Linked DNA regions of Mus musculus: all the other regions are reported to be linked to region 1. The links are microRNA targets in miRTarBase. Many come from high-throughput screens and were not tested one by one. Region 1 holds a microRNA gene; each other region holds the end of a gene's coding sequence.
What was found. Region 1 holds the annotated microRNA mmu-miR-181c-5p (AACAUUCAACCUGUCGGUGAGU, at 1,963-1,984, opposite strand). A microRNA usually pairs through its seed, bases 2 to 8, with sites in the 3' UTR of a target mRNA and lowers its output. Matches are read on the target gene's strand: a 7mer-m8 pairs with bases 2 to 8, a 7mer-A1 pairs with bases 2 to 7 and ends in A, and an 8mer does both.

Region 1 (5,148 bases):
CTTTCTTTCTTTCTTTCTTTCTTTCTTTCTTTCTTTCTTTCTTTCTTTCTTTCTTTCTTTCTTTCTTTCTTTCTCTCTTTCTTCCTGTATTTTTGGGGTTTTTTTGTTTTGTTTTTTTGAGACAGGGTTTCTCTGTGTAGCCCTGGCTGTCCTGGAACTCACTCTGTAGACCAGGCTGGCCTTGAACTCAGAAATTCGCCTGCCTCTGCCTCCCAAGTACTGGGATTAAAGGCGTGCAAGAAACAAGAAACAAGAGTTTCTTGTTAGGTGGGGTAATGCAGAAATCCCAATTCCTAGGAAGGAGGCCTGAGTGTGGAAGTGGGGCTGGGGGTAGGAAAATGACAACTGGGTCTCAAAGCTCTGGTTTCACTAACAGACTTTCATGTCCTGGAGAACTTAGTCTTGAGGTGTGAATTAAAGTAAAGAAAGAAGAAAAGAGAAAAAGAGTGTAAGTACGATAGAGAAGAAGAGAGAAGAAAACAGAAGAGAAGAAGAAAACAAAATGTCTGAATTATATAGGGAAGAGCCTCTGGGGGGGCGGGGGAGGGCAGTCCAGCTCCTGGGCTAGAAAGTTCAAGGTTGGGGGCAGAGTATGCCAGGTAGGGACTGAGGAATGCTGGGAGAACCTGGAGGCCAGGTCTGCTTTGATGTGTAAAATACGCACCTCAGTCCTGCAGTCTAAACCAAACAAAGAATGCTCCTAGTGGGTAGAGAAGTGGTTTGTTTTTGTAGATAAAAGGGACAATTACAGGCAGGGGCAGGGGCAAGGACACCTAGGAGTCTCCAGAGTGGACATGACCAGCAGACTAAGCCAGGCATGAAGGAAAGGGGAACAAGAAAAAGAAGACAAGCCGGGCGTGGTGGCGTACCCCTTTAATCCCAGCACTCGGGAGGCTGAGGCAGGCGGATTTCTGAGTTCGAGGCCAGCCTGGTCTACAAAGTGAGTTCCAGGACAGCCAGGGCTACACAGAAAAACCCTGCCTTAAAAAACCAAAAAAAGAAAAGAAAAAGAAGACAAAAGAAAAAAGGAGCATCTAACCAAAAAGGTTGGCCTATATATGAACCAGAGAAGCTGCAGGAAGGGAAAGCCCAGCCTAGTTCCTTGGCTAGAGAAGTTCAGGGTAAAGGACAAGATATGTCAACAAGGAGGACCCTGTTAAAGGAACTGAGGGATGCTGCGAGAACATGGCAGCCTGCGGCTTCAACTTTGATAAAGGAATAGGCACCTCAGCCATTTGTCCTGGGTTTAAGACCTTACCAAGTTGAGTTCCCAACTCTTCCCCCTCCAGTTAGCTAAGCAGCCTCAAGGTTACCCCAACCTAGGAATGCAGCAGGAGGGGAAAGAGCCTTCAAGCACAGGAAGACAAACTGCACTGGCATACCCCAGCAGGTGCCAGCCCCCTTATCTGACACCTGTCAAAGGAGCCTGCAGCCTGAGCTCAAAAAGAAACAGGAGTCACCACTGCTAGGACAGACTTCATTCCCGCTCATCCATCCACCTGCCCATGTATCTGTCACATGTTCATCTACCAGTTTGCCCACTGCAGAGCATCACTGAGCAAACATCATCCCCCCAGAGTCTCCCAATTTAGGATCTCCCCAACACCTAACCCTCCAGGGTTTATTTCCCAATTCCAATCAGCCCATCAAGATCCCAGACACCAGTCCCATTTCCCCAAGGGGAGTAAGTGACAAGCAAAATCTGAAGGGTTCTATCCTCTTTCCCATCCCTGATGGTGTTGTTTGGCCCAGCCACAGTGACATTCATCCCCCGGTGGGTCTGGCTGCCTCCTCACAACCCACCGACAACAATGAATGTTAATTGTGACCTTTGCTGTGGCCTGAGGCAGGGGATGCTGCCTGGGGCTCTCCCGGGTCTACAGGGTGGGGATGGGGTAGACGGGTGGCAGTTCCAGGCCTCGGGGTCCACTCAACGGTCGATGGTTTGTCTGAGCTGCCCAAACTCACCGACAGGTTGAATGTTCCCCCAAACCCTTGGCAAGTTCTTGGATAACTGGAGTTGGGAGAGTAGGCCAGCAAGGCAGAGAGCATGTGGGACGAGAGAGAAACCAGGGTCCCCTTTGACTCACAAAATCAGCCATCAGTTATTCTTTTTTGGAGACTCAGAAGAAGCAGCACAAATACAAACCATAATGTAAAAAACGCAGCCCCTGCAACAGAGATGATAATGTGCCTGTCTCAATTCATGTGCTATATATATTCAAGGGATGCATTCACAACTGATATCTCAGCACTCTGGAGTCTGAGGGTTGGGATGGCCTTAGTAAGGTTACAGGCTAACCTGACCTAAAGAGTGAATTCCTGATGAGGGCTAAGTACTGTGATAAATAAAATCCTCCAAAGCATTTCTGAGAGATACAAATTCCCCTCACTGGTCAGTTGGAAAGACTGAGGCCAAAATACAAAGTGGGGATTTTCTAGCCACCATTCTGGGAACTCGGGTAGGTCATCAGGTTCTGGTCTGGGCCTGGGCTAGGCATAGGGCAACTGAGCCGTAAACAAGTTACTTTTATACAATGTAACAGGGCTTCTCCAGCAAACTTGAGATAAATAAGGCTTTCAATATATTGTAAACTTTTCCACCTTCCCATGGTCACTAAACTTAGTTTGACGGTTTCTGAGACCACCACTGCCCTACCCAGTAGAGCAGTGAGCTGTGAAAGAAGGCTATACACAGACACACCCCACCCCCACCCAAAGGCTTCTAAATGGTCGGGAGGGGGAGTGCGGGGGGGGGGGGGGAGGCTTCCCTTTTGCTTTAACTGAGCTCAGAACACCTCAGAGAGGGAGAGGTGACCCTCAAGGATCTCCTGAAGTCACACAAGACAGATCAAGAACACTAAATGTAGTAGTATGCTTGTGTGAAACTCCTGCAGGGTTAGCACCGGCCTGTGCAGTACCAGGCCACCACTGCAGACTTGCCCTCCAATTCAGGCCTTTGACAGGGTTCCCTATGGCCCTCCTACAAACCATCCCTTTTAGATCTAACGCCAAACTCAATCACCTGAGAGCTTAGGTCCTACCCCCTGCCTAGCACCTCAGTGTGGTTCCAGGGCACCCCTAGAAGTTCCCTAGAAGTTCAGCTCCTTTTAAGGGCCACCCCTACCTACAGACCCAAACCTGGCCCCTGGCTCCAGCAAGACTTAGGAAGCACTATCTCCCGGTAGAGCCCTAACCCTGCTTCCTCAGCCCAGGGCCCGGTAACTGGTCACATTCCCAGCCCCAGGGGCCCTCTCTTTCTGGCCATGGATTAAGAGGTCCTGCATGGGAAAGGCAGGTCTCCTGCTTTGGTAGCTCTCAGCCCTGAGGAAATAAAGGTCTAGACTGGTCAGATGAAGATGAGCTGGTCACAGGCGCTTTGCACAGACCACCACTGTGCCCCTGGGGAAGGGCCTGCTGCCAGTTCAGAACAGTTTTAGGGGGTTCCTGAAAGCTAAAATGGAGGATTATGAGGCACACGGGACACTCTGGGCAATGCGGGCCATCTTGCAGACACCCCTCTTTTATTCTGTAAGTCCACTTTGCTTACTTCCCCTGCAGAACTCTGATTTTTGTCCTTTACATAATGGGAGGTGTATGTTAGGGGTATTCACGGCAGGACAGCCTGCCTGTGGGAGTTTGGCGGGGGGCGTGGCATGGCGGAGGCGCCAGGCCCCACCCCCTCCTGTCTCTTTGTCTGCAGGCGTGGTGCGGGCTTCCCGCCCTCAGTGTCTGTCTGCGCTTGCCTGCCCTTTGTCAGCGGGGGTCGACTGTCTGGGTCTGCCTGCACCCTCCCTATGTGTCTGTCCTTCTTCTTCCCGGGGCTGCTCCTTGAGGTTTTTGGCAGCCAAGCCCCCTGGTGTGTGAGGATCAGAGTCTTGACCTGAATTCCTGCAGCTAGGGGCTGATCATTTACTTCCCGCCATGTGTTGGTCGGCCTAGAGTGCTTGGGCGGGAGGTCTGACTTTGAAGTCCCTTAGTGTAAGGGTGGGAAACTGTCTCCTTCCATCCCCCAACCCCAGGTCCAGAAGCAGGGGCACTGCAGCGCAGAAGTCAGCTTGGGAATGACCTAGGTGGAGCCTGCCCCAGTCTCTCTGAGCAGCTGGCAAGTCCTAGAGGTCAGGTTGAGGTGAAATGCCAATCCCAGCCAGATGGGGGTAGCTCTACCATCAAGTAAAAGATGGGTTAGCTGTCTGCTATATTGTGCCCTGTGGTCTGCAGTGTTCAGTGTGCAATACCTGTGTGTAAATCAGCTGGGCAGAAGGGAAGAGTAGGTAGGGCCTGGAAAACAGTCCATTATTGGGGGGATAGTGACAGGACAGGTGGGAATCTCCATAGGGTCACATTGGTGGCCCAGGTTGTCTAGACCTTATTATTATTATTAATTATTATTATTGCCATACTTACACGACTTCTGAGATACCCACCCTTCCCTCCTAATCTCAGGAGCTTCTCAGATACTCGGGTCTTTCAGGGGGCTGGGGAGTGGGGGGGGGGGAGCTCAGACAGGAGCTCCTATGTACTATAAGTAGGCCAAAAGCCCCAAATTTCCAGGCTGTCTGGATGTGAGGCCAGGCCTGCAGATGAGTGAGAGGGGTCTGGCTTCTCCTGGGTCAGGGGCTATGATCAAGGAAGTGATGGGAACTCCAGCTACTCCTCTGAACTTCTTTAACAAGGAGCAGAGCGGTCCTGGGTATGCATCACGGTGGGCTGTCTGCACAAACTCATTTGTCTGCTATATACACCTGTTAATGGATTGGAGTAGAGGTCTGCTCTAGACTACTCTGCTGCTAAAGGGAGCTCAGGGGGAGGGGAGGGGACTCTGGGGGGGGTGTACCATAGTTGGTGGCACCACTAGTGTATTAGTGTATATATGCCAATCCTATGGGCTTGTTTATGTGTGATGTCAACACTGTAGGTGGATGGGTGTGTCAAGCTCATTGTGTCCAATTGTGGTCTATGTGTGCACAGATGTATGTATGGATGCGGGGTTTGTCAAGAGTAACTGGGTGACTATAATCTGTCAGCTGATAAGGATGGTGTCTTTCAGGGCCAGTCTCCCACTCAAATACCAACTCTGTTAAGGCAGGGAATTCACTGTGAGTCATAGGTGTGTCCCATAATAACTGCTCAATAAGTGTTGCTGGA
Region 2 (5,148 bases), not on the chromosome of region 1:
GGAGGTTGGGCAGTGGCCTAGGATAGAGCTGATTAAAGCATGTCAAAATATAAAGGCTGTGCGTGTGGGTCTTCCATTCTCGAATGTAAAGCGTTGAGGTGTGTAGCAAACCCGCTGCCAGGATCTATATAATATTTTATTCAACAGATTTAACTCTGTACAAAGTGGAATTTATTGGGAGGTAGGGAAGATTTGCTGACAGAATCAGATTCTGAGTAGTAGCTAAAATAAGCAGATCACTGTGAGGGAGGGTGTGTATTTTGGTTAGGACAAAGTGTTTTTATTCAAGATCAAATGTATTTGGTTCACCTTAACCAAAGGAAGAGTGAAGCACATTCCTGGTGCAGGTCATACAACTCCGTAGATTGCCTTAGCTGTTTGTATCTGTGTATAATTTACCAAGAAAGCAGACTCGGTTACTTTGGAGCAATTCTGTGATTGACCTGCCTTGCTTGGCTTCCCATGGTGCAACCCCAGCATCCAAATAAACTAACTATTAAGGAAAGCTTCATTTATTTACTTGATTAGTTAGTCTGTTTGAGACAGGGTTTCTCTGTGTAGCCTGGGCTGTCCTAGAACTCACTCTGTGGACCAGGCTGACCTCATATTCACAGAGATCCAGCTGCCTCCGCTTCTGCCTCTCGAGTGCTGGGATTAAAGGTGTGCACCCCCGTGCCTGGCAAGGCAAGCTATATTTTAACTCACTAGCTACGCTTGCTTGCCCTGGTGCTCTAGGGCTGTGGCAGAGCAGAGGTTGCAGAGCAAAACCTCATGTTGGATAGGAACCAAAAGAAAAAATCACCAAGGTTCCACTCTTCCCTTCAAAGGTTGTCAGTGCCCAGGTTACTTCTTCTTTCTTTAAAAAAAAAAAAATTATTTATTATTATATCTAAGTATACTGTAGCTATCTTCAGACACACCAGAAGAGGGTATCTGATCTCATTACGGATGGTTGTGAGCCACCATGTGATTGCTGGGATTTGAACTCAGGACCTTTGGAAGAGCAGTCAGTGCTCTTAACAGCTGAGCCATCTCTTCAGCCCAGTGCCCTAACTTCTATTAGGTTCCACTTTTTAAAGGTTTCTCCCACCAGCTAACCTTGACTAAGCCTTCAATCCATGCCCTTCAGGGGACATTTAAGATCCAAACCTGTGGGATATGGTGGCACAGGTATGGAATCCTCGTATTCAGAAGGCCAAAGCATAGGGTCAGAGCCATCCTGAGCTCCTACTAAGATTCAGATGCACAAAACAAATAAGATCTGAGCCATTACGCAGCTCAAAATGGCCACAGTTATGTCCAGCAGAGTCTAGCAGACGGCTCGGGATCCGGGTTCTCCTGTGAAGACTCAACAGGAAAAGAGTCTACTCCCAAATCCATCATTCACCAGCTAACCCGTTAACAGCCATTCAGCTTATCGCATTAGCCATTCCTGAGAACCTAATTACTAAGCTGGGTGTGGTTGGTCCAGAACCCAACACTTGGGAGATGGGAGCAAAAAGATGGAGAGTTCAAGGCCAACCTCACAGAAAGTTTGAGGCCAGCTGGGCTGCATGCACACACCCAAACCCACACACACACTTGACACTAAATGCCTATTCAAAAGGCAATATGGCTATATAAAGGCATGGGTAGCCAGAGCTGGCAATCATTGAAGTCTACTTACCATACTCACTAAAAAACTAAAAGTTTCCTCAACTTGACTTCCTTTAGTTGGACCTCAATAACTAATTGTTTTTTGTTTTGTTTTGTTTGTTTTTGGGGGTAGGGTCTCAGTGTGTCTGTGGGCTGGCCTGATATTCTCTATACATATCAAAGTGGCCTCAAACTCACAGAGATCCTCCTGTCTCTGCCTCCCTAGTACTGGGATTAAAGGCAGGCACACACAACCATCTCCAGCTTTTTTTTTTTTTTTTTTTTTGTATTTTTTTGTGGTTGTTATTTGTTTGTTTTTGAGACAGGGTGTCCCTCTGTATATGAGCTTGATCTCAAACTCATGGTACTCCTCCTACCTCGGGCTCCCACATCCTACGATTACAGGCTTGAGCTACCAAACCTGGCCTGATTTATAAATCTTGCAGAAACATATGCCCATGTGACTCCACTTCTAGGGTCCTCCAGTGCAAGTCAGGAGACCTGAAGCTTAAGCTATAGGAAACCATATGGATTCCGGGGGTTGAACTCAGGTGTCAGGCTTGGTGGTAAGCATCTTTACCTGCTGAGGCATCTTGCCAGCCTCAAGTTTGTATCTCATGTTAAAGAGGGGAAGGGTTCTCTCTGCTGATATGGCAGCTCATGCCTATAACGTCAGCAGTTGGGAGTTGGAGACAGGACGATTGAAAGAGTCTGAGGCCATCCTGGGCTATGCAGTAAGACCATGTCTCAAAAAACAATGTTTTTAGAGACAAAGGGGGAGCGTGGTGGAGAGAAACGCCCACCAAGCAGCAGTGTAGACACACCAGGTCTGTCTCCACTGCTTCTACCTACAACTCCTGGCCCACAGTCCCCTTGTCTCATTCCACAGCTGCTTCTTTCTTGTCACCTGGGTCAGATGTCATCTCCTCCAGGGTCTCCCTGTCTCCCCTCACCCCACACCAATCTGTCACGCCTTTGGAGAGTGTACTTTCTTTGTAACTAACGCTTTGTCCTAACTTCATCCTACCTACTAACGTGTTGATTTCAGAATGCACTCAAACTGGTATAGGACCTCTAAGGTGAAGGGCGCTTTTTACACTATCTTTTTCATCTCCCAGAACTGTGCCTGGCACATAAGAGGCGGTCAATGAGCAGGCACAGATTGGAATCAGACACTTGACTGGTCTGTTCCTTTGACTTTGTACTGTACCCTCTAACCAGCTACAACCACGGTGACCCTGCCCTGCCCTCTTCCCCAGCCTCCAACAACCCCAGCTGCAGCGCCTGTGGTCCACTTCAAACATGGCTCCCCTGAGAAGCTGTGCAGGAGCTGACACACTCCAGGCAGGCCTAGTATCTACTCTCTAAGCTCTAGTTCCAGTGGAGGCGACACCTGTTCTTAGCACTGGCGCATCCAGCACCCGGCCCCCACATAAAACTGTGTTTTTAGACCACTGCTCTTTCCAGCAACATTTATTGAGGGTTTCCCATGTGGCTGGCACTTTGCTGGATGAAAGCTGTGGACACACAAAGTGCCCTATTGCCTTCAAGTCCCCAGACTCATTACCCCTCCCATAGTCACCTAAGCAGTCTCCATCTGGGCAGGTTGTCATACATGAAGGAACAGTATTGCACAGTCCTGAAGATTTAGAAAGCCTTTGCCCAGGTCTGGGCCCCAAGCCCAGCAATTGTCTATTCTACTGCCTTTGCCTTCACCGCTCCAGCATCACACAGGGCAGGTTCTCTAGCAGAAACCGTGGTTGAGTCTGAGTAACACCATCAGCTCTCTACTCCCTCCTGGGTTCAGCCTTCTGCTTCTGAGAGGATCAGGATAGAAGAAGATCAGGATGGTTGCCAGCTGACCCAGGACCCAACTTGTTCTGCAGCCCGAGGCTGGCTGACATCATGATGACAATTCAAGTCGGGAGATGACACAGAGCAGACATGGATCACAGAGGTCAATGCCTGGGACAGGAAGAGGTCCACAGACTGCTGAGGATCTCAAATCCCAGTGGCTTAGTCCTCAGTGCCTTCCTTGCGGGCCACCAGCTGCTTCATAATACCAGCTTTCAACTGTCATAGAACCCAGAGACACCCGGGAGACCCTGAATCCATGGCTTGCATTCACGGTCCCAGTCCTTGGGCAAGCTATGCTCAGTACTCTTTTTTTAGATCTCAGGGCATATGGCTTTTTTTGGAGAAAATAAGAGGATAAATGTGAGATGATAGAGGAAAGGAAGTATTCAGTCACCAACAGGAGAGGGGAGAGGTGCGTTCTCTCTCTCTCTCTCTCTCTCTCTCTCTCTCTCTCACACACACACACACACACACACACCACATTCAGCACAGTTGCCTTCCTAGATACATATATACATGAACACACATGCACTCATATTCTCTGAGATGCACTCTGGATTCTTCTAGAAGAAAGGAAGTGGTTTAAAATGGGCAAAGAAAGTAGCCCTCAAACAGAAGTATTAGATTAATTTAATACTTCCTATACTCAAAAAGCAGGACCAGTGGCTTCTGTAAAACCAACAAGGGTGACTACTGCTCTCTTGAGCCCAAATCACCGTCTTCTCTGGCTGGATAGGTCCCATCCCATCCCTGTTGTCTACAGGACTACTTCAATGACGTCATTTCTCAATGCAATGCCCCTGCTTAATCTTCCTTGGTTGTGGACATACTTTGATACCCTCTGGCCGTGGCCTCAGCCTTGGCCACTCTGTACTCATCCCCTGTCTCCATTGGCAACACATTCGAGCCATCCCCATTCTTCCTTGTCGTGGGCTCAGATGGTCTTGTTTCATTAGCTGCTCTATCCCTATTGGTTGCCTCTAGAGGTAGTGTTTCCACTGACAGCAAGTAGATGGATGGATGGATGGATGGACGGTTGGACGGTTGGACAGATGGATGGATAGACTTTTTCTTCCCCATGCTGCTGCCAGTATCCCAATCTGTGCTCCTCCCTAGCCTGCCTTAAGGTTGAGGGGTGTCAGGAGTGCCTGAAGAGGGTCCTACAGCCTCAAGGAGCTTCTGGTGCTGGCGAAGATGCTTCCTCCTCTCGTGTTCTCCTGTGACTTCACACACCAGTTGGGCAGGGAAGGCTCCAGGAAGCCCCTTAAGCCAACCTGAAGAGGGGAGAAAGGTTTGTGTGGAGCAGGACCGAGGTCAGGTGATGGGGATGAGGGAGGGGGATCCTCAGGTCTCAGGTCCCAGGCTGGGGATTAGTGGAAAAGACCAGAGCATTCAACTTCAGTCACTAGTGCTCCTGGAAAGGCTATCAACATCCGTGAGGGTCTGTGTCACTTCTCTGCTGGGTCCTGCAGTGACTGCTCACGTCACTCAACTGGAAGAGCTTCTAAGCTTGAGAGCTGGCTCAGTGGTTAAGAGAAATTGGAGCTCTTCCAGAGGACCCAGGTTTGATTCCCATCCTCCACGTGGTAACCAACAACCATCTGGAACTCCAGTGCCAAAGGGATCCAGTGCCCTCTTCTGACCTCAGCAGGCACA
Region 3 (5,148 bases), not on the chromosome of region 1:
TTTTTTAGAGGGCTTTCTTGTTTATTTTGCCTGCATGTATGGATGTGTGCCACTGTGTGCCTGGTGATCGTGGCGGCTAGAAGAACGCATTGGATCCCCTGGAACTGGAGTTCCAGGGTGTTATGTGAACACCCACTATGTGGGTTCTCAGGAGTGAATTCGTGTCCTTTGTAAGAGCAGCCAGTTTTCTTAGCTATTGAGTCGTCTCTCCAACCCTAAAAATGACTCTTAATAAGATAATGGCTGCAGGCATAGTAGTAAACTCCCGTGATCCCAGGCCTTGGGAGGTAGAAGCCGGAAGATCAGGAGGCGTTCATGACCATCCTTGGTTGCCTAGCAAGTTTGAGGCCAGCCTGAGCTCTATTAGACCAAAATGGCAGTCAGAAGACATGTTCATACTCAAGAATGGCTATAATGAGTGGCTGCCTCTTATGGGGTTCCATGTTGGCCTGTCCCTACCATGGTGCAGGGCAAGGTCCAAGTTTTGATGCAGTTTTCTTTTTTTTTTTTTCAAAGATTCATTTATTTATTTATTATATGTAAGTATACTGTAGCTGTCTTCAGACACTCCAGAAGAGGGAGTCAGATCTCGTTAAGGATGGTTGTGAGCCACTATGTGGTTGCTGGGATTTGAACCCAGGACCTTTGGAAGAGTAATCAGTGCTCTTAACTGCTGAGTCGTCTTGCCAGCCTCCTTGATGCAGTTTTTTTTTTTTTGCCACAGTAAGATAATTTATCCCTTAAGGATCTAGGCCCTTCCACAGCATTGAGAACACCATGGACAAGGGAGAGTGCCTAGGCCGCAGCCTACTCACAAACTATTCCCCCTGTTCTTTCAGGACCGCTCAGGAAGTGGCAGTGAGGAAGACTGAACCAGACATTCCTGAGTCCTGACCCCGAGGCGCTCGTCCCAGCCAAGATGGAGTAGCCCTTAGCAGTGATGGGTAGCACCAGATGTAGTTTCGAACTTGGAGAACTGTACACATGCAATCTTCCACATTTTTAGGCAGAGAAGTATAGGCCTGTCTGTCGGCCCTGGCCTGGCCTCGAGTCTCTACCAGCATTAACTGTCTAGAGAGGGGACCTCCTGGGAGCACCATCCACCTCCCCAGGCCCCAGTCACTGTAGCTCAGTGGATGCATGCGCGTGCCGGCCGCTCCTTGTACTGTATCTTACTGGACAGGGCCAGCTCTCCAGGAGGCTCACAGGCCCAGCGGGTATGTCAGTGTCACTGGAGTCAGACAGTAATAAATTAAAGCAATGACAAGCCACCACTGGCTCCCTGGACTCCTTGCTGTCAGCAGTGGCTCCGGGGCCACAGAGAAGAAAGAAAGACTTTTAGGAACTGGGTCTAACTTATGGGCAAAGTACTTGCCTTGCCAGGTGTATGGGTTTTGCATTCCCATCACCCACACACCCTAAACAAGCCAAGTCAGTGAGCTTCAAGTTAGAGCCTCCACCTCAATGTGTACGTGGAAAGCAATCAAAGATGATGCCTAGCATCCACCTCTGGCCCTCATGTGCAGATGTACACACACTGAATTACATACACGGGACACACACATCCACACGGAGGCAGTCCATGACTTGCACTGGGGAGATGGTACCATAGGCGAAAGTGCCACAGGCACAGGGCCAGGCTAATTTAGTCCTGCAGTCCTGTGCTCTTAAGATGAAGGCACAAAGAGGAACCCCAGGCGCTCCAACTAGCATGCCAGGCAGTGACAAGACCCTGCTTCAAATGAATCAGAGCCCACATTCAGTATTGCCCTCTTACCCGATGCGATGCCCATGCCCTCACATATGAATGTGTATATATACATACATACGTAAAATAATTCTTTTTTAAATTATAGACATTTTTGTGTGAATGTTTTGCCTGAATGTGTGTGTGTGTGTGTGTGTGTGTGTGTGTGTGTGTGTGTGTGTATCAAGTACATTCCTAGAGCCTACAGAGGTCAAGGGAGGGCATTGGATCTGGAACTGGAGTCACATGAGGCTGTGAGCAACTGTGTGGGTTCCTGGGCCTTTGCAACAGCAGTTAGTACTCTTCACCACTGAGCCATTTCTCCAATCTCAAAAAGAAGCATTCTTTTAAATGAAGACTGAAATAAATAAGTAGGACTTGCCTTGGTTCTGTGCCTATAAGCCCCAGTTCTGCCTGCAGCCCTTTTGCCCTCCAGTTCTCCATTACCGCTCAGTCTTTGGCCATCCGTAGCTACCAGCTGCCTTGGGAGCCACAGTTGTGTGACAGCTCTAAGGCGAAAGGGGAAGTGTTGTACTCCAAGAGAAGTGTTGTACTCCACTCCAGTGGTGGAAGTTTGTCCCAAGGTCTTACAGCTCTGAAGAGAAAGGTCTCCTGGAAGTCTAGAGCCAAGGAATACCACAGAGACACACTGTACAACAAACCCCACAGGAGACTTCCCAGGAGGGAAAGATCCGAGAGTGTGGCAGCAGAGGCAAAGATCTCCGATTTCAAGGCCTGTATAGTGAATTCCAAGATTCATAGGGTTCATAGGCCCTGTCTCAAAATAACAAAAAATTTGTTCTGGGGCCAGGCATATAGTATACACCTTTAATCCCAGGAGGCAAAAGCTGGTGGATTTATTCATTTCTTTATTTTCGGTTTTTCAAGGTAGAGTTTCTCTTGTGTAGCCATGGCTGTCCTGGAACTCTGTGGAGACCAGTAGGCCTTGAACTCACAGAGATCACCTGCCTCTGCCTCTCAAGTGCTGGGATTAAAGTTCTACCAAGGCTGCTTTATATTGTTATGAGACAGTTTCACGTAGGCCAGGGTGACCTTAAACTTGGTATGGAGGTGCAGCTTGCTGTTAACTCATGATGATCCCAAATGCTGAGATTGCAGGCCTGTACCACCTAGCTAGTGCTCTTGAATTTATCTTCCAAGGCCAACCTGGTCTACAGAGTAAGTTTCAAGACAGCCTGGGCTATACAAGAAGGGAATACAGAGAAGCTGTCTTGGGGGAAAAATTAAAGAGTTCTAGGAGTCAGGCGGTGGTGGCGCACACCTTTAATCCCAGCACTTGGGTGGCAGAGGCAGGCAGATTTCTGAGTTCGAGGACAGCCAGGGCTACTCAGAGAAACCCTGTCTCAAAAAAACAAGAAAAAAAAAAAAAAAAAAAAAAAAGAGTTCTAGGGACTGGAGAGCAGTTAAGAGCACTGGGTACTCTTCCAGAGGATCTAAGTTCAATTCCCAGCACCCACACACAGGCTCACAACCATTTGTTCCTCCAGTCCTAGGAGGTTCAGTGCCCACTTCTTGCCTCGGGGTACTGCATGCATATAGCCCACAAGATATACATAGCAAAGCACATAAACTAAACATGAGTTCTACAGTCAGGCGGAGTGATGCATGCTTCCAGTCCCTGCAGGGGTGGGAAGATCTCTGCATTCAATAGTAGCTTAGTGTACATAGCAAGTACTGCATGATGAGAACTTGTCTCCAAATTCAAAAAAGTGTCCTGGGGACCAGAGAGCTAGCCTAGCAGTTACAGGTACTTGCTGCCAAGCCTGACAGGCTGAGTTTGCTTTGCAGAGTCCAGGTGGAGGAAGGAGAGATTCCACTCCCTCAGGTTGAATCTCTCTGGTGTCAGGTGTGCTATGCCTTTATGCCAGTTTCCTAGACCACCACAATTCAAAACACGTTTATTCATTATTATTTTATGTATATGAGTTAGCCTAGGAGTTCTTGAACTCTAAACACAGTTTTTTTAATGGAATGTAGTAAAATGTGGGTCTTGGGTTGGTTGGAGAGATGGCTCAGTAGCTAAGTACATTTGCTGTTCCTGCAGAGGACCCAGATTTGGTTTGCAGAGCTCACATGGCAGCTCACAGCACCAGGCACGCGCACATGGTACATGCAGGCTAACTCATATACGTAAAATAAAAATGACTAAATGGGCTTTGAATTGTAGTCCGGGCAGCAAGCTGTGTAAAGGCATAGAACGCACAGCCTGCCCAGTTGGTGAAGGCAACAATCCACTCCCATAAGTTTCTCCCCTTCACATATGAGCCCCCTACACACATTAAATACATCCATACATATGTGCATACATGTAAAAGTGAGCCCTTCACAGGGAAGGCAAAACAGACCAGAGTGGTTATTCATTATAAAGAGCAGCAAAGTCCAAAATCACCCCAACAGGCTCTATGTGACCTTTCGTCTCTTCTGTCAGAAGTATAGAGCAGATGGAAACCGTGGTGCAACCCTTTAATCCCAGCACTCAGGAGGCAGGCACACGCAGATCTCTGAGTCTGAGGCCAGCCTGGTTTACACAGCAAGTACCAGGATGGCCAGGGCTACGCAGAAACCCTGTCTAAAAAAAAAAAAAAAGAAAGAAAGAAAGAAAGGGAGAGAGAGAGGGAGAGAGATTATAGCTGCTGCTTCAGGATCAGAAAGCTCCCGTGTCTTTGAATTTCACTATAAACACCCATACATCCAGCTGTGCTGCACAACTGAATGGCTGGTTCGTGATGCCAGAATCTGTCCTTTCTCATCTGAGAGGCAAGAAGCTAGGATTGGGTTTAGAAGAAAGTGAAGTGACCTAATGCAGGCACCAGGTATACTTTGGATTGAGCATCACGTGCACAGCCAGGTGTCATAGGGCCATGGGCCATGGGGATGACAGACAGGTCAGAGTAGTAGTCCTAAACTGCCCTTTGCCTGAAGTTGGTGACGCCCCTTCCGGCCCCACCCCTGCTGGCTTATGATGGCCTTTTCCTCCCCCCTGCTGGCCCCACTCAGTACCTGAGCCTTCCAGATTGCTGAGTCTGAAGGTTTCTATCCATTTCACAGGTAGTCCAGGTGGGGGCCACCCCACAAGCTCCACCCAAAAGTCACATTCCAAACTACAGGGAAGTCCCCAGGTCCTTCTTCCCTTGAATCCCAGCAGATTTCTGCACTGTGTCATAGAAGACACAACCTGCTCGATTCGGATGAGCAGGGCTGTGTGCCACCCAGTGTGTAGAGCACTCAGCTTTCCTGGGATGCACTCCAGCATTCCATAAACCTGTCCTGTGATACCCACAGGCACCGCCCATCACACCACCACCCAACAAAAGCCCAGCTGTGCTGGTGCACGCCTTTAATCCCAGCACTTGGGAAGCAGAGGCAGATGAATCTCTGAG
Region 4 (5,148 bases), not on the chromosome of region 1:
GTGGCCCCAGTTATAAGCTCAGCTTATTCTCAGGTCTATCATCCAAACAGGATAGAAAGACCCATTAGCAGGGAAACATCTGATAGTCACGAAAACAACATGGATGGCCCCATCTCTCTCATCAGACCAAAGAGTCGACCCCAGGAAAGAGAGGCCTCGCCCAGCAATAGCTGCCTCGATTCTACTGACTCAGAAAGTAGCCATGATGACCGCCAGTCCTACCAAGGAAACCCTGCCTTAAATCCCAAGAGGAAACAAAGCCCAGCTTACATGAAGGAGGATGTCAAGGCTTTGGATGCTACCAAGGCCCCCAAGGGCTCTCTGAAGGACATCTATAAGGTTTTCAATGGAGAAGGAGAACAGATAAGGGCCTTCAAGTGTGAGCACTGCCGAGTCCTTTTTCTAGACCATGTCATGTACACCATTCACATGGGTTGCCATGGCTACCGGGACCCACTGGAATGCAACATCTGTGGCTACAGAAGCCAGGACCGCTACGAATTTTCATCACACATTGTTCGAGGGGAGCACACATTCCACTAGGCCTTTTCATTCCAAAGGGGACCCCTATGAAGAACTGCACATGAAGAAATACTGCACTTACAGTCCCACCTTCCCTCGGATGGCGACATGCTGTCTTCTGGATGCTGTCACTGTCTATAATTCTTATTTTGTGGACAAAATGTCATTTGCTCTGCCTAACTACAATGAGGAAGAAACAAAAGAAAAGGGATGGGATGTTCAATGATAACTTGGCTTGTTTATTTCGTGAGCATTTAAAGCAGTTCATTGCAGCCATGCATCCTTGTTAAGGCCTATCATAATTTAGGAGATCATTCAGTTCATAGAGGTTCATCCAAGAGATTCTGATCTGCCATTCATATTCAGGATTGTGATAGAAGGCAGGAAAGTTGAGAGTTTTCTGGGTAGGATGCTTGGCAATTTAAAATGGTCTAAGTCATTTTACTCTCAAAGAAGTTTCAAAATGTAAACCGATTTTATTTTCTGTTCGTTAGAGATCATGGAACACAAAAACAATGTTATTTTCCATAACTACTAGGATGAGTTGAATTGTTGTGGGTTCTGTGTTTACCTCCCCTACGGAATTTATAATTGAGTATGTTTTACACTGTATCATATAGCAAAAATTTTAAACTACAGGTAGTCAAGGGCCGCTACGATACATCTGAGGTCCTTTGATCTTATTTTTCTAAACTTGGCGCACTGTTTTTCCATAGTTTTGATGACTGGCATTTTATAGACACCCTGGCAGCCTTACTTTTAACACCTGTAACAAATAGTATTTTTTATGTAGTTTTCAGAATAACATATGGTCTCAAGAGTGGGTAAGAGGCAGTCAGTAATTTCCAGGAAGAATTCTGCTTTTCACAATTTGAGATTTTTTTTTAAGCTGTAATATGATGGCAGCTTAGTATACATGTTTGCTTCTAAAGGTGTGTTTACGATCGTCACTTTATCAGCATTCAATCAGTGTTAACAAGTCAGCAGAAAAGTGTAATTAGGCGAACAGTAGGGGGAATTCCCACTCTAAGAACCCTTTTCTGGTATTTCTCTTCAAGCTGTGACCACTCAGTGTTCTGTCCACAGTCCATTCCTCTTTGACTCTTGGAATAGAAGGTCTTAAAAAGCCTTGCTAGCAGTTGCTTCTTTTAAAATCTTGGAGCAACTGTTAATTGGACCTGAAAGTGGTAACTTGAACCCTGGAAGGTCTTTTATTTACTAGGGCTATTTATTCCACTATTTCTTCAGTAATAAGAGTTACTACCTTTGCTGGAGACAAAAGGGAACTTCTTTGTTACCTGAATAACATAGTGCAGGTCAAACAAACAAGCAAAAAGTTTTCTTTCAGCCTTCCCGGAGTTGAGAATGTGACCATCTTTAGGAGAAGGTCCCGCACTTTAAAAATAAAAACAAAAAATCCAACTCTAGAGTTCCTTATCAGAAATGAATCTCAACCCCTTAGTCAAGAATTTTCTGTCGTCTCTTAATTTGCACGTGAGAAATACTTCCATATCTCATGCTCAGGTTTTAATCTGATCTTTGTGAGTTCTCAATTGTTTTTTTTTTTTTTTTTCTTTTTCTTTTCTGAACTTGACTTGCATTTGTGGGTAGGATTGGAGCACACTGTTATCAAGGCATTCGGGGGAATCAACTTGGCAGACATAACTTGCTGCTTGTGTTTGAGGAAAACAAACCTGACCATAACTGGATTATTTGACAGTCATTTGTAAATGCTGAGAGGTCTGCTGTGTGGTAACACATCGCTGCTCCAACAGTCCCTTGAGTGACATGCCCAAACCATGTCACTGCACTTTGCCTTGGGAAGTACCACGACTGGAGAAGTACCCACGGATGAGCAGTGTGCTCCGAACTCGCTTTGCAGGTTTCTGTCTGATCATTTAAGGAACTTCTTAGCTCTTCCATAGCCAGAGCGAGGTAGTTCTGACTTGCCTCTTTTACTAATCCTTATCTTAGTTCTTTCTGGAGAAATATCCAACTGGTTCCTTAACATGTAAGAGAATGCACCAAACCAGAGCTATATCAAATGCCAATTGTTGGTTTTGTTTTTTTTTTTTTGGCGGGGGGGGGGGGGGGGGTTGTATCCCTTGGTACATTTTAAAAACATAGCTTCCTCGGGGATGAAACATCTCATCATGCCTTCCCTATCCCCACTTACCCTACACACTCTGGAATCACAGTGAAAAGGATATTTATTTCTGAATGAGGTAAATAAGTTTAAGGCTCCTGACTTCTTTGTTTTAACTGCAACTTGAGGAAGCATCTGGATGTCTGTCAGTGTGTCCCTTTCGGCTCTTTGTGAACACCTGCAGGCATCTGCTATCTCTTCCTTCTCTCTGCTAGCACCTGCTCTATTAACAATCATGTACCTACCTGCCCTGGGATGACACTGAATTTAGGTGTACTGGAAGAGTTGTGTCCTTCCCCTACGAAGGTGGTACCGATGTGCTCTGCCTTTCTGATCCCATTTTATTGGAAAACCTGATGTACTCAAAGGCGTGAACTATAAGGGTAGATTGGCTGTACATATGCACTTAGCCTTTTCTTTCTTTTTCAGCTGCATGGCACAAGATACAGAAAAAAAAGTAGATAGCTCTGCTGTGACAGGGACAAATGGGGACAAGCTGAATTCAAGATTTGTGGGTTACGATAAACTTTGTGGACATAGTGCTGTCTGAGGGACCCTCAATGACTGTATTTGCCTCTTTTTCACCAAAGAGAATAGGAGACATGGTAGCACCTAAAAATAGGTATGAAGGCCAGATACCAAATAAATCAAATTTACATAACCGTTACAAGACCAGTTTATTTAGGTGACATTTTACAGTTGAGAGAGAATTTGAGGGGCACGAAAATGGGTTATCCTCTGTGTTTTCCAGTTTGTCAGGAATTTATCAGATGGCTCTGCCCTAATTTTGCCCAGATTTTTTTTTTTTTATCACCAGTTCCTTCTGGAGAAACATGCTGCGTCTCTATAGTAGTGATTGATTGCTTGTTATAAAGGCTTTTTAGAACAGTGAGAGCCGCCAGCCCAATGAGCGGTAGAGGGAAGTGTGAAACACTGTCATTCAAACATTCCGTTAATAATTCTCTGGATAAAATGGGGATGTGAGGGCCAACCATTAAGATTTAGAATGAAGTTGGCTGCCTGGCTGGCATACATACAGGTCAGTGTTTGAATGCAGTACAGTTTGCATGCACATGCATATTGCACATTCTTTTAATGAAAATTCACAGAAAAGAAGCAATTAGCATTGCCAGTTGTATTACAAAAGCTTAGAGTTAGAAGTACAGTACAGTTACTACGCCAGCAGTTGGGTCTAATTCAGCAGGTTGTATTAAGAAAGCCCCATGTTGTCAGTGTGTCTTTAAGGCTAATGGCAATTTAAATCACAAATCTCCATTGTCTGCATCCAGAAAAACAAACAAAGCAAGGCAAAAAACAATGAAACAATGAAAAGATATTGAGTTGACTGGAGAATATTTGAAGAAATATAGATTTTTTTTGTGAGAGGAAGAAGTTGCAGGAAGTAATTTAGCAACCTTGGCTTGTGTTTGTGCTTCTCTGACCCAGTTGCACACCTCACAAGTTTGGTCTTTCCAAACCTTCATCTTCTCTCCTAAATGACAAGTTAGGGTAGAAAGATTCATGGAAGAGGCTGGAGAGGACAAGGAGAGCTGTCTGCCCCTAGATTCAGGACTGCGCCTTACACTGTCCAAGTCACCTGCCACATACTGTCTTAGCCTTGAAATTGTAGATTGGTGGTGATCGTCAGTTGTACTTCATGTTATTTTAATAACTACTGTCTGTATAATTATTCTACAGCAAAAGCTCCCCCAAATCCAAAAGGGGAAAAAAGTGAGGGATGAATTGAAACTTTGTATATATAAAAGTTATTTTATAAATGTTTTAGTCTTCCAGTTTCTGCAAAATAATTAAAATATACAGTAACTGGTCTCTTAAACCCTGAACTTAATGTATTAAATACTTATAAAATTTTATATTGGTGCCTTTTAAAAATGCATTGAGAGTGTTGGTTAGCTCTTTAGCTCTACCACACTTTTACTGTGTATTTTTTAAGAAAAAAAAAAATCACATAAAATCTAAGTACTCTCTAATTCACCTTTGTGTTCTTAGAAGAAGAAGAAAAAAACTGCTAAAAGAATTTCCAGACTTTTAGCTGAGCTGGCAAAAGTGACAAAAAAAAAAAAAAAAAAAACAAACTTTGAAACCAGATTTTAATCTTTTTAGCTTGATGATATTTCTGGACATTATTCTATGGTAGAGGCAAAATAGAAGGTAGACTCACATATCAGCAATGAATTGGATTATGCTATATGTTTTGATTTCTTCTTGAGGAAGAATATGTTTTGCATCACACAGGGGTTTCTTTGTATAATTTGGAGTCAGTAATTACAGTATTGCTTTGCTTTGTTTTAAATACCCGACTGATGTTACTCTAGTCTTGGGTCTTCTGTCTCTTCTGTCTTCTAACCTGTGGTTGTTTTGTGAAATGGCGTGGGAATGCAGATCATTGTCTCCTCTTGAACAAGACAAAGCTCAGCACACTAGTCCCGTGACTGGTCTCCAAAATGTCATCTCAGATG

Region 2: the mRNA of Arhgef15 is a reported target of mmu-miR-181c-5p. Seed matches in the 3' UTR shown: 7mer-m8 at 3,972-3,978.
Region 3: miRTarBase lists Smarca4 as a target of mmu-miR-181c-5p. Seed matches in the 3' UTR shown: 7mer-m8 at 1,805-1,811, 7mer-m8 at 1,868-1,874 and 7mer-m8 at 1,881-1,887.
Region 4: the mRNA of Ikzf2 is a reported target of mmu-miR-181c-5p. The part of its 3' UTR that is shown has no 7-base or 8-base seed match.

What each region holds. Positions count from the first base shown.
Region 1 is chr8:84,176,962-84,182,109 of GRCm38, forward strand. It overlaps Mir181c (microRNA 181c), which reads right to left and starts at 2,000; the gene lies at 1,912-2,000. It overlaps Mir181d (microRNA 181d), which reads right to left and starts at 1,826; the gene lies at 1,755-1,826.
Region 2 is chr11:68,940,064-68,945,211 of GRCm38, forward strand. It overlaps Arhgef15 (Rho guanine nucleotide exchange factor (GEF) 15), which reads right to left. Exons shown (of 16, transcript NM_177566.4): 16 at 3,091-4,766. The coding sequence ends at 4,615. Among named protein-coding and RNA genes, the nearest start is that of Gm51902, 13 kb to the left of the region's middle.
Region 3 is chr9:21,702,097-21,707,244 of GRCm38, forward strand. It overlaps Smarca4 (SWI/SNF related, matrix associated, actin dependent regulator of chromatin, subfamily a, member 4), which reads left to right. Exons shown (of 34, transcript NM_001174078.1): 34 at 840-2,134. The coding sequence ends at 872. Among named protein-coding and RNA genes, the nearest start is that of Gm26511, 19 kb to the right of the region's middle.
Region 4 is chr1:69,534,163-69,539,310 of GRCm38, reverse strand. Ikzf2 (IKAROS family zinc finger 2) reads left to right here. Exons shown (of 8, transcript NM_011770.4): 8 at 1-5,148. The coding sequence ends at 543. Among named protein-coding and RNA genes, the nearest start is that of Gm28497, 110 kb to the right of the region's middle.